Caenorhabditis elegans: one gene and its partner. The gene in region 2 interacts genetically with the main gene of each other region. Each region holds a gene or a part of one and is shown on either strand. Other genes may lie near its edges.

Region 1 (6,410 bases), on a different chromosome or scaffold from region 2:
GTAGTTTCAGTATCTGATGGTGAAATTAGAAATGTGGCATATGCGTTTGATTATAGGTAAGTTTATTTGAACATATTTTAAACGTAAATTAAGCAAAAAATTTCACGAAAATAAGGAGCTTAATCGAATTCTGGACATTCATCCGCTTTTTTTTTATTATATACCAGCAAAAATTTCAACATTTCGCGCCTAAAATGTAATCGAGATTTCCAGACAACCTCTACTTCTAATTCATCTACTCTACACTGTTCCATCATTTATAGCATATCATAAATGCCGCACGTTTTTGACGAAGGAAAGCGTCACTAGCAGCTATTTCAATGTGATTTTCACAAATGATTTCTATATTGTAAGTACATAGACCTTTCGGATAAAAAGTGTAAACTTTTTCAGAATGTTGCACTTTTTATAATCGACTTTCTATTTACACGTCTTCCAATTTCTGGTCTTTTTGAAAATCTTCCTTCATACATCCCAGAAGGAATACCTATGACTATAATCTACTTTCTCTCGTATTACTTGATCTATGTGAACTTTTATTCAATAACATTAATATGCATCAATCGAATGACTTCTGTACTTTTCCCGTATTACTGTAATTCGGTGAGCCTTCCCATCCGAAAAATATGAATCTCCTAAAAAATTAAAGTTTTGGCAAAAGAACGTCCGCAGTGCAATCGCACTTGTCTACATTCTTCCATTAATTACTACATGGCACTTAGTCACCTATGACGCTTATTTCTTACCACTATACGAAAATCGATCCAATTATCAAATGGTATACAGAGTGAAACTGTTGATAGGATTTTTGGTATGGTTTCCACCAAACACAAAATATGAAAATCAATAAAATTACAGCCTAGAAACAGTACGGCGCTGTGTTTTGTGTCGATTCTTCTCGCCGTAATATGTGTTGCAGCGAATTTCACAACAATTGTTAAGTACAAAACGACAATTCAAACAGTAAAAACGGCTAGTGGTACTCAGAACGAAGTTAGTTTGAATAATATTATATTAGAAGCATAATCAATTTTAAGTTTCATCGAAAAAGAACACGACGAGTAGAAATTGCAATGTTTTCTATAGCGTTAGTGGTATGTTTTTCACTGGTACTGCAGGCTTTATTACAGGTAAGGAAATAATGAATTATTGGAGTATTTACTTTTTTAAAAATTTTTTATAGGCTCTGATAATGATCTACACTGGTACTTCGTCATTCATTCGTGAAACATGTCAAGATCTACGTGCATTCGCACTGGATATTTCCATATGTTGCCCACCTTGGATAATGTATTACACTACAGTACACTCGCATAAGACTACAATAACAAGTAATTCCATATCCGGAGTTGGTATTCCAACACGATCAAATGTTGTTGTAATGAAATAAAGCAATTTGAAACAACTCACATTATATTGACTGAAAAATCCAAAATATCGAAGAACTCCGACATATACCAGCAAAGCTCCCATTCCGAGGAAAATCGAAGTTAGCGTGAAGAGGGAATTGTCGAAATCCTGAAAAGAAAGCAATAATCTTAGTTTTATGCAAGAATTAATGGAAAATAATTTTCTAATCAATACAGAGGGGCAATTTGGTTTCGATAAATCCCGGGATGAAAAGTTGATGGAAACAATGGGACGGACAGATACAGAAAGGAAGTTATTGGAAATATAAATTTTTACTCACATTTCTTGTAGTAAAAGTATTTTTGTTGAACTAAATTTAATATATTTTATGTTTGAGTATTGGAGGGAATTTTTCATTTGAATTAAACTTAAATTTTTATAAAAATTACCTGAAACTCGATGGATATTTTTGCAACAGTTCCAATGATAATAAGCGCATCGTTGACCACAATCATCACATACCACAAATTCAGAAAATCGAGTTGATCGGTAACGGTGATCTTATTTTTGAGTACATTCTCAAAATAGTCGCTTGTTTTGATTTGAAGTAGATGGGCTTTGATGAGGGCTCGGCAGCAGAGAATCAGTGATAGAATGCAAAGAATGAGAACGAAAATATCGGTTCCGCCGATTAAAAGTGTGTCAAATGACCATCCAACACCTGAAACTTGACCTAACTCGAGATTGATTGAATTTTTATATTTTGATATTTTAATATTACAAAATTCATTTTTATTTAAACACAGAAGTACACCTAGAAGTTAAATATTTCAAGTTAATTGGGAAATTTTTGAATACCTAAAATCTAAATGTTACTCTCAAGAAGAACTTTTTTAGGCAAATAAAGTTATGTAGATTTTAACACGAAGTTTCAGAAAGACTTTTATAAAAGATTTGAAGTTATATTTAATAGCATCCCATTTGATGATTCTTCACCATTAATTATTGGAATTCTATGTTAATTGGGTAATTTTCGATTACATAATCTATAATTTTTACTAGCTTTACTTTGAAAATTTGAAAAAAGTGAAGTGTTCACCTTTGATGATCCTTCCATTACAAACATTCACATAAGAAACCACAGTTGATAGAGTGACATGAACCTGTCCTGTATGCCTTGAATTATCAAATTTGATAGAAACTGATATCTTATAGCATTCTGGTTTCTGATCTCCGGCTGTTGGTGAATAATGAATTGTTCGTAGTCGAAATTTGAATTGGACCGTCGATATCTTGAGCGCGTCTTCTGGGAGAAATGTGATTCCACGAGTGGCGAGAATATCTCGAACAGCATCATCGGATTGTCCGATTTGGAAGACTTCCGTTTCTGTTAGATTCAGACGTTTCGTGTCTAGAAATAAACTATTTTTATTTCATAATAGTATGTTTATATACCTTTCACTTCACGAATGTCGAAATTATAAGTGTTATTGTTCACTGTTACGTTGGAAATTCGATCGATAAGAACTTCAATAGGTGGAATAGATTCAAAACTAATTTGAGCGCCAAGATTTCCAGATGGATGACTTACAACGTCATAGGAAAATGAAGCAAATGAATCATTGCGAATTGAATAATACTGAAACAATATTGATCATTTTACAAGATAGTTCTCCAAAGCGACTTACAGAATTAATCAAAAAGCTCAAATGCTCGGATAATCCTTGATCATCATAAACCGAATATCTTCCTTCAGCTGGTGGATATTGTAATGCATCTCTGTCGTCATTCCATTCTTTTAAAAATCGATGTCTCATAACTGTTGTGGTGTCTTCGAGAAAATCAACATGAGACATGCGCATTTCCGCGAATAAAATTAATTGCATGGTAACGAAAACTATTTTGAGCACTTGTAGAACCAACTTATAGGGCAGTTGATGTCTGACTTTCCATTTCTCCATTGGATTCATAAAAAAGAATTGGAGATGACGGCGAAGACGTTCGCCGGTTTCTCTTTCGTGGTGCGGAAGATCTTCCATTATTTCTTGAAAATTTATTGTTGGCCTTCGAGAAGCATTTGAAGAAGCATTCGAAGCATTATCGTTGAAGTCTGAACGATCAGTTGTGCTCCGGCGAGACATCTGAAATCATGAAATATTAAATAACGTTGTATTAATGAAAAATTGATTTCGATGCGAGTGGCGGTTAATATAAGCGTACAAAATATGAATTCTAATTTTTAAAAAATATATATTTTTATGATTAACATGCTATTTATAAAAAACAAAAACAAATAATTGTTTGAACAATTAAAAAATAATTTTCCGAGACCAACGCCCGCGTAAATCCTACTAGTGAGGTACACCGCGCGGTGTCTTTGCGTACCATGCACAATATCTGACGCCGGTCAATCTTATGGTATTTATTTTCTCTTTAAAAAACGAAGAACTAAAAAGAAATACTCACCTAAAGTCCAAAATTATCAGAAATTATCGTTATCAGTCAATCAAAAATTGGTTAAGACCATGCAAACATGCAATTTTGCAGTTTTCAACCCTTAAAACAATACATTTATTATCTCACCGATTCGAGGGGAATTTGCTCTAACCGCATCGATCTCGAAGCTTGGCTTCTGAATATTCTACTCATCTTTCAAGAAAGCTTAGAGGTGTTATTTAGAGCCGATGTAAATGGCGAACATGGGATAGATAAAAGAGCATTTGAGAGAGAGAAGCGCAGGGAAGCTAGAGACACGTCAATTTGTTTTTTTCTGTGTTGGGTTTTTTTTTCCTTCCGTAGATAAATAGCGGTTGGAATCTATACAAAATTGAGCATGACTTTTGAAAGGTGCACACAAAGAAAATAAAAAGCGTAGTACTTTCAGTAAAGAGAAATTGGAAAATTTTTTGAGGGCACATGTACATAGTATTTTGCAATGACGTTAATATGGATAAACTCGGAGAGAATTATAAATTCAGAAATTTGCATAGAATGACGCACATTTTAAAAGTGAAATTGCAGGTTATAAAGTTGTAGTTAAAAAAGTTTGAGTTATTACCCAGTTGCGAAAGATTTCAATTTATTACAAAAATTTCGGGCTGGTTCACAGCGCGAACATTTTCAAATCGTAGCCGCCGCAAAAAAGGTATGCACCTTTAACAACCACAGTAAACCATTGAAATTTTTCTTTGAATTTTTAGTCATATTCATATTCTGTCGTATAATTTTATCTGTTTCTTTTTAGATACAAATAGTGAGAAAAGGAAGAGCACAACTAACAAACGGGCAATGGATTACTGTCGTTTTTTGAAGGCGCAGTGAGACAGTAGGTACCGTTTTTGAAAGTTTACAGAAGGCAACGTTTGACAACTACTTCAATTTTTGTTCTTTTTTTTTGGTCGTACCCCAAATATCGAAAAAAGTCTCTGCAATTTTTAAATTTCCTGTGATTTCAATAAAATATTAAATTCTGAATTTCTATTTATTGAACTTCGATATCAAAATTCCTCTTGCCACACACAAATTTTTAAAATCTAATACGTTTCCATGTCTGCAACTATCGAAAACACCTCCACAATATTCAGTTCATCATCATTTTTTGTTTGGTTGACTGGCTTCCGATCGCTCTTTTCCTTTTTTGTTCTTTTCCCACGCCTTCTTTTTCTTCATCTCTGGCGTACTCTCTCGATGTCAAATTTTTGTTAAAGTGAAAGTTTTTGGCAACTATAGTTTTTACAACATATTCATTCATTTGTAGTTTTGATATTTTTTTATTTATTTTTGTTTCTAATAAATTTTTCATCCGTGAAAAAACTCGGTTAATCGAAACATTTCTTGAAAATTCAGAAAAATGGAATTCATGAAACTCGCAATCGAAGAAGCCAAGAAAGGAATGGAGAAGGGAGACGGTGGACCATTTGGAGCTGTAATTGTCAAGGATGGGAAGGTAATCGGTAGTGGGCATAACATGGTTTTAGTCACCAAGGATCCAACAGCACACGCCGAAGTTACAGCCATCAGAAATACTTGTAAGAATGTCGGTAAGTATTCCTTTCGTTTTTAACTTTAGTAAAGGAAACAAAATTAGTTTCTTGAATCCAAAATTTCGAAAATAATTTATAATTTTTTACAATTGTTTTTTATTTAGTAAATTCCTTACAAGATATCACTGTTTGGACATCACTTACTGCTTTGATCTTCAGTGTTTGGTTTTTGACTTTTTTGATTGCCTATAATTTGGTTCACTGTACTTTTTAATTTAATTTAGGTAAGAAGTTACTTCCTGGATTCCATGCAAGCCTTTACTGAAATACTAATTATTAGGGGTTTTGTGAGAATTTGAGATCTGCTAAAAGATCAGAAGCGTCTTAATTTATTTTCCCTATTTATCCTATCTACTGTTATATAATTATATTCAAATTGGCCATATATCTATTATTTATCCAGACAACTTTGATCTATCCGGTTGTCAACTCTACACTTCCTGCTATCCATGTCCAATGTGTATGGGAGCTGCTCTCTGGTCTCGTGTCGATGCAATTTACTACGGTGCCACGTCACAAGACGCCGCGAATATCGGATTTGGAGATCATGAGTTCCATGAGTTCCTTCAAAACCCAAAATCGGATGATAAACGAAAGTTGGAACAATTCAAGGTGGACAACTACTTAGAGCCATTCCAACTTTGGTCAAAGAAGGATAACAAAGAACTTTATTAAATATAAACAAATTCTCTGGTTTTTGTCATTTGTTGGTTGCAAAAAAGTAATGCATTATAAATAAACGTATAGGAGTGTGAGCATATGGGAGCAGCAAATATGAATAATTGATTACAGGAAAAAAGACGAAGGTTGGGAGAATGTAGATGACGTTTGTATTTGAAGGTTTTAATTGACTTGTAATTTGCTTATCAAAAACTAAAATTTATACAAAAATGTAAATATCTAGTTACTTTTACTAGGCCTTTCAAATAAAAACAGAATCTTGGAAAAAGTTTGCAATGTCCCATAACATCTTGCATATAAGACTAATAGAGTAAATACGGTATTTCAAATTTGGAA
Region 2 (6,410 bases):
TGTTACGTTCGGAAATCTTCAAGTGATTTGAACAATTTCCACAGTTTTAAAATAACCATTTAAGAAACTGGAAAACTAATCAAATTGCTGATTTAAAAAATTTTCGTTTCACTACAATTACATAATTAAGCAGATTTTGTAAACATTGATTTGAAAAGTTCATTTGGAAAACTGCTACTTTTTGTCAGCCTGCAAAATTTGCAAAAGTGTAACAATAGGATCCGTCTCCAAGTCCCGTATATAACGTTCACAAATTTTATGCAAAATATGAAACAGTAATAAATTATGCCAAAAATTTAGCGCGAAGTTCAAATTTCCAGTCAAAACTTATTTTCAAAACATGAACTACAACGAACCGGATAAATTTCCCCGAGCGGCGGTGATCCTGGTGCAACCTTCGGTTTCACACACATTTTATAGGCATGAACCATTTCTGGAAGAAGCTTCAAAGTCAAATGAAACGTGGCTTTATGGTTGAAGTGCACTTTGAAATGGTTCAGCGCGTCGATGACGTAGGCTGGCTCCGAGCAGTTATTCGTAAATGTCCAGATGATTTGGTGGATTTTGTCCAAATGATTTCCATAGATTACCACTTTGAACTCTTCTTCTGGAGTTACTGAACAGACGCCGTGTTTGCTCAAAAATTTTAGTTTTATAAAACCATGAAATTTCCTTAGATTTTTGGGTCCCGCCACGAAACAAAAAAATACATTGGTTTGAAAAAATTGGACCCTTTGATAAAATTTGCGGGAGAGGAGAACTTTGAATTTTTTGAGACCATTTTTACATGGTCAGAAAAGATGAAATACTCTGCAACGGTTGTTAATGTTGAAATAATTTTTTTCTAAAAATTTGACAGTACCAAACATCCTTAATTATCATGAAGAGTTGCGCATGAAATGTTCGCATACAAACTAGGAGCTTTTCAGTCAAATTTGAAATAAGAAAAAATTCAGCTCAACTCAAAATAGTTTCAAACTGTTTTCTTGATCAACGTCCGATTATTGTTTCTATTTGTGTCCCGGGTACAGTTTAACAGTTGATTATCTCAATTTGAATGGATTTAACAAACATTTGCCCAAAACAATTTAAGAAAAAAAAATTTTTGACACAGAAAAAAAATTCGAAAATAACTAGTTTTTCGTAAGATTACAGGAATTAACAAGATGTACAAATGAATAACAGAATTACTGTTCTGTACAACAACTTTCTACGCAAACAGAACAATAACCAAGCTATCTGTTTTATGATAAATTATTTTTTATTAAAAATCTTTCACGGCCACCTGGCAAGATTGTTTTAAAAACTCACTCATAACCAAACGGATCGTCAGCTGGAAGTTCGACTCTCATTCCAAAAATCGTTGGAATTTTCGAGCTCTGACTTGTGTTGTTGTTGCTCGCTGATTGGGTCTGAAAATTGAAAGTCAAGAATTGCAGAAACTCGAATAACAGTTTTTTGGCAGTCGTCAGTTTCGAAATTTTTAACCAAAAAAATCCACTGTTTCAACTAATTTTTTGAGCCAACATATAGCGTTTATTTAGTTAAAAGATTTAGGGGCCAAAATTATTGTAAAAGTCCAAAATTTTGGTAAATTACCAAAATGTTGACTGAAAATTTTGAGAAATCAAAACTTTCGGAATGATTTATCATTTTATTCGGTTATTTGAGACTCCAATGCGCAACCAATTTTTGATTTTAATTTTAAAAAATACACTGCTTCCACAATTGCTTATTAGTGAACATTAAAAAGTTGCATTGATAAAATAGCTGTAGAAAAGTTTTATTATATACAACTAAAAACAATGCATTCAACGGTAATGGAATTGCTGGACAATTAACTGTTGTTTTGTTCTAGGCTGTTGGAAACGGTAAATAATTTTTATAGCAGTTTATTTTTCGATTTCAGGAAAGAAGACACTGTGAAAAGTTTGTTTGTCTCGGAAATCCAATTTGTTCCAGACAATTTAGGATGTCGATTTTTTAAATGAAAATTTGGAATGTGAAATTTTCGGTGGCCCAAAAATCCACTGTTTCAACAATTTATATGAGCTCAAGATTAGTTAAAACAATGTTCGAAACCGTAAAATTTGGTTTTCCATTTTGATTGAATCTATTACATTTTTCAAGAAAATTTTAATTGTCTGTTACTGTGTTTACAAGACAAATATGTTAATTTTTTAAACTAAATCTCATATTTTAATTCAGACAGCGTTAGTAGGTGCATTGCTGACATGGTAGGTCCAGCACCTACCAGCCGCCTAATGGCGGTCTCATTGAGGCATGAAGGTAGGACTTATATTTTTGTTTGTGTTTTTTTCGCAAAAAACATTACTTATTAATGAATCACCCAACTTGTAACAGATTTAAAATAAATAAAAAACATTCACTGTTTCAGAAAAAATTTAAGTTCCAGTAAAAACCAAACTTTTGTTTATTGTCCTTATTCCACCGAAAAAACTCACCGGAACTGTAGAATTGTCCGCAGCAGCCGTTGTCGCCGAATCCAATATCGCCGTCACCGTGGTCACCTCATCGTCGACTCCATTCTGAGCAGCTGTCACGTTGCATTGACCTAATATGAAGAGCGAGAGAGTGAGGAGACGCAGACATGACGCAGACATTCACTGGTGACTCGTATAAGGCGGTGAGTTGGGGGATAATCTGAAAATTACGAAAATTCAAAAGATTAAGGTTTGAAGATTGAGAGAGAGAATATGAAGAGTCATTGAAACAGAATATAAAAAGTAGCCGCGAAAAAATTGGTGACCACGAAAATTTTGTACAGGGGCCCCTGTACAAAATTTTTCCTGCAGGGGGCTATGGAGTTGATGAAAATATACTAAATTTTTCACATGGCCGAGAAACACAATTTGGTAGCCGAGTTTTTCTATTTTCTCTGCCACTTCCATTAGTTACTGGGAGTTTTTGAACATTTTCAATGACCTGCGAATAGGAGAAATGATACTCTCTAAAAATATGATGGAAGTCAGGCAATTTTTTATTTTCAGTAAAAAAACTAAACTTGAAACAGCATAATTTTTTGCTCAAATTTTACGATTTTTTTTTATTTTCTTTTATTTTGAGGAAGAGGATTCGAAAGTTAAATTGAGTAATTTAAAATTTTACATTTGACATTATTTGACTTTTACATTGAAAAGCCCTCATAAAAAACGTTTATGGATATATCCGGATAACAGAAATTTGAAACATACGAAAAAATATTCAAAAAATGGAACGTATGATATAAAGGAAAAAATGCACTGTTGCATAAAAAATTATGTCTACCCAAAAATTAGATAGTTGTGAAGTTTTTCAGCAAAAAAACTAATTTGAAAAATTTTAATTTTTAACTTCAAAAACTACTGTTTCAGTCACTGTTTTTGAAGCGGAAGTCATTGAATAAATGTTAATGCTTCTCTAACTGTAATAACTGTAATATAATTTCCAAAAAAGAAACTACATGTGAAACAGAGTTTTCATTTTTTAATTTTGAAAAATAAATATTTATTTTTTAAAATACAGATTATTGTTGAATAATATTCAAACGGCTCCATATTGAAATTTTTCAATCAAAATAGTAGTGAAACTGCATATGTTTTATAACTAACTCAGTTTTGAAACAGTATTTTTATAACTTTGAAAAATTGTTTCACACAGTTTGTTTCACAAGTGGATAAATCAAAAAAAATGTTCATCGAGAAATAACATTTACCTAATTATTTGTTTCATATTCTAACGCGGAATATGATTTAAAAAATAAAAACTAAATAATGGTTTAACATAGAAATTCAATTTTCTATACACATTTTGACTTACACACTCACATAGGGTGTACTTTCTGCCGCCTCCGCCGCATGACTTATTATTAAATGATTGTAAATATGATGAATTCCGAGTTCTTTGTGCTGGTCAAACAAGGAGGGAGCCTATATATGAGGGAGATTACCTATTGACCGGTCAATTTTTGAAACTTTTTTTGAAACTATGTTGAAAAGGGAAAAAAAGTTTTATTGAACAATTTGTAAATTAAAAAAAAATTTATAGCTTCAATCAATCAAGAATGTATATAATTACACTGAAGTTATTTTTTTTTTAGCAAAAACAGTGTTTTCAGAGTATTAAAGCAACTTCAAGCCAACATTTCAATGATTTTGTACCAATATTTAACTGTTTTGACTTTGTTTACAACGTTGAAATCGACGTGTAATTTTTTTTTTATTTAGAAAATATTTTTAAAAAATGTTTAGAAATACACAAAATTGTTTTTAAAGAAAAACGTTCAAAAAATGTTCTCCCAGACCAAATTACTATTTTGACGGATCAGAAAGATGCGCCCAAATCCAAGAAGTATTAGTTATTGTAGAATTTGTGAAACAGAGAAGAAAAACATTTTTGTGTCTGCCTTGTTGTGGGAACACTACAGTTTGAAAAAAGCGTTTTTTTTTTCAAAATCAAAATTTAGAACTTTTTTCTTTCAAAAAAATGTTCAAAAAAAATCACAGTGTTTGCGTGAAGCTGAAAAAGTAAAATCAAAACAGTTTTTCTTCCAAAATAAAATAAATATTTCAAACATTTCAGCAATAACCAGTGAAGCAAATTTCCGGGGGTTACTGGTTCATAAGACACGGATTTCTTAGTGAAAATGATGTAAATATTAAAAAAAAAATTTCACAAAATTTTACTGTTTCATATTTTTTTATTTAAAAAATTAAAATATATAATTATGTAATCATTTCTTATTTTAGAATTGCATAAACTCCAAAAGAAACAAAAAATTTTAAATGTTAATAAAGTTGTAAAAAACATTTTCTAAGTTTTGAAACCATAACGAATTGTTTCCAATTTTCTTTTAGCATTATAATTTTGAAAACTCGAAAAAATGTGTGTTTTTTTGTTGAAATAATCAAAAATTGTTTCACTTCTTCTACATTTTTTTAACTTTTAAATTCAAATTGATCAATACATTGATGTTGGCACATTAAAAACGGCTCGACTGAATATTTAAGTTTTGAACTCTTTTCTTCATGTTGTCGTTGAAACAGGAAATAAGAAACTGGAAAACGCTTTGCACCGCCCGCAAATGCAATTTCAGGTTCATATTTTTCCTAATCTTTTAATTATCGACTTACATTGCTAATCAAGACCTCTAATCTGATAAAAAACATTGAAAAAGGGTATAACGTTGGGCTAAAAAATAAATATAAAAAACATTGAAACTTATGAAAAAATCCAAAAAAAAAGTAAATGGAGAAAGTCCTTGTCGTATCATATTACCGAACGTATTACGCTTGAGAATGGCAAAAAAGAAGACGAGAGAGGGGAGACGCAGGATGAGAAAGATATTAAGATTGGAATTGACACGATGGGGGGAGAAAATGGGGGAAGCATCTTTGAGGTCAGTGGTCAACGATTTATTGAGAAAAATAATAGTTTCGAAAGAGAGATTTCTAAAGCAGGCATTTATATTCTGTGAAATGATCTTTCTTTTTTAATAAATAGTAGGTTTACATTGATGTTGGCACATCAAAAACGGCTCGGCTGAATATTTAAGTTTTGAACTCTTTTCTTCATGTTGTCGTTGAAACAGGAAATTTTAGAAATTACTGTAAAAGAGGATGAAAAAACAAAGGAAACGAAAAATAAGAGTTACAAATGAATAGTTTTGGTTGAACCTGTGGAATTGAGAATTCATAATACACCCAAAGTTAGACTTAAACAAAATTGACAAGTGCATCAACACATAGCTTCCATAGAATTGGTCAAGTTTTAGAAAAAATAAATGAGCGAAACAATAATTCAAAAACTTGTTCACATCAAGACTACAGCATGAATTTCCAATAGATTTTCTTCATAGAACAGAATATACGTTTTTCTTGGAAATTTCAAAAGTAGTTGAAACATTACTTTTTTGTATAAACGAATCAGTTCAAAACATTTTTCAAACATGCGAAAAGGGATCTTGTTACAAAAAATTCAAAAAAATTGTATACAGTTTCAGGTGGTTAACTTTAACAAAAATAATTTCAGAAATATAATTTAAAACGAAGTTTAGGAGAAAAATAATCGATTGTGCAAAATTTTAACTGAGCAGAGGCAATTTACGAAAAACATGTTTAGTATCTTTTCTAAAAAAAATTTAAGAGATATTAAGATCAAAGGACTATTTGAAAGCATTATCTTCCATAAAAGACTACAAGAGACTACAATAAAAATTTAAAGCGCAAAATTTTTCAGATTCTCGAGAAAAACTCTCTAGAAATTGTGTACATCGATTAAAAATTTTTGGAAAATCTCTATAAATGTAGTTTTAAGTTATAAAATTGTAATAAGCAAAAAGAGGAGAAACTTTTTAGCTACCTGTATATTTTTCTCCCAAATAAATTTGATGTCAATTAACAAAATTTGTA

What was found. A genetic interaction does not mean that the proteins touch.
Region 1: of cnnm-1 (region 2) and cup-5, changing one suppresses a phenotype caused by changing the other (phenotypic suppression), as found in Caenorhabditis elegans (one study listed by BioGRID).

What each region holds. Positions count from the first base shown.
Region 1 is NC_003281.10:7,581,770-7,588,179, reverse strand, and holds the start of cup-5 (Polycystin cation channel PKD1/PKD2 domain-containing protein), read right to left. Parts: upstream 3,498-6,410; 5' UTR 3,492-3,497; coding exon 3,039-3,491; intron 2,990-3,038; coding exon 2,806-2,989; intron 2,762-2,805; coding exon 2,450-2,761; intron 2,084-2,449; coding exon 1,800-2,083; intron 1,721-1,799; coding exon of another isoform or gene 1,691-1,720; intron 1,519-1,690; coding exon 1,411-1,518; exon of another isoform or gene 1,391-1,410; coding exon of another isoform or gene 1,184-1,390; intron 1,131-1,183; coding exon of another isoform or gene 1,038-1,130; intron 994-1,037; coding exon of another isoform or gene 859-993; intron 812-858; coding exon of another isoform or gene 650-811; intron 604-649; coding exon of another isoform or gene 394-603; intron 350-393; coding exon of another isoform or gene 214-349; intron 57-213; coding exon of another isoform or gene 1-56. Other genes in the region: R13A5.15 (Serpentine receptor class gamma), read left to right, coding at 1-56, 214-349, 394-603, 650-811, 859-993, 1,038-1,130, 1,184-1,390; gda-2 (CMP/dCMP-type deaminase domain-containing protein), read left to right, coding at 5,201-5,390, 5,797-6,068.
Region 2 is NC_003282.8:17,204,182-17,210,591, forward strand, and holds the start of cnnm-1 (Metal transporter cnnm-1), read right to left. Parts: upstream 2,665-6,410; 5' UTR 2,625-2,664; coding exon 2,466-2,624; intron 2,456-2,465; exon of another isoform or gene 2,435-2,455; intron 2,097-2,434; exon of another isoform or gene 2,076-2,096; intron 2,039-2,075; exon of another isoform or gene 2,018-2,038; intron 1,827-2,017; exon of another isoform or gene 1,806-1,826; intron 1,784-1,805; exon of another isoform or gene 1,763-1,783; intron 1,736-1,762; exon of another isoform or gene 1,715-1,735; intron 1,567-1,714; exon of another isoform or gene 1,546-1,566; intron 1,413-1,545; coding exon 1,312-1,412; intron 925-1,311; exon of another isoform or gene 904-924; intron 900-903; exon of another isoform or gene 879-899; intron 637-878; coding exon 357-636; intron 232-356; exon of another isoform or gene 211-231; intron 171-210; exon of another isoform or gene 150-170; intron 1-149. UniProt on the Caenorhabditis elegans protein: Probable metal transporter. Probably acts redundantly with the other metal transport proteins cnnm-2, cnnm-3, cnnm-4 and cnnm-5 to regulate Mg(2+) homeostasis. Promotes postembryonic gonad development by regulating Mg(2+) levels, probably via AMPK signaling.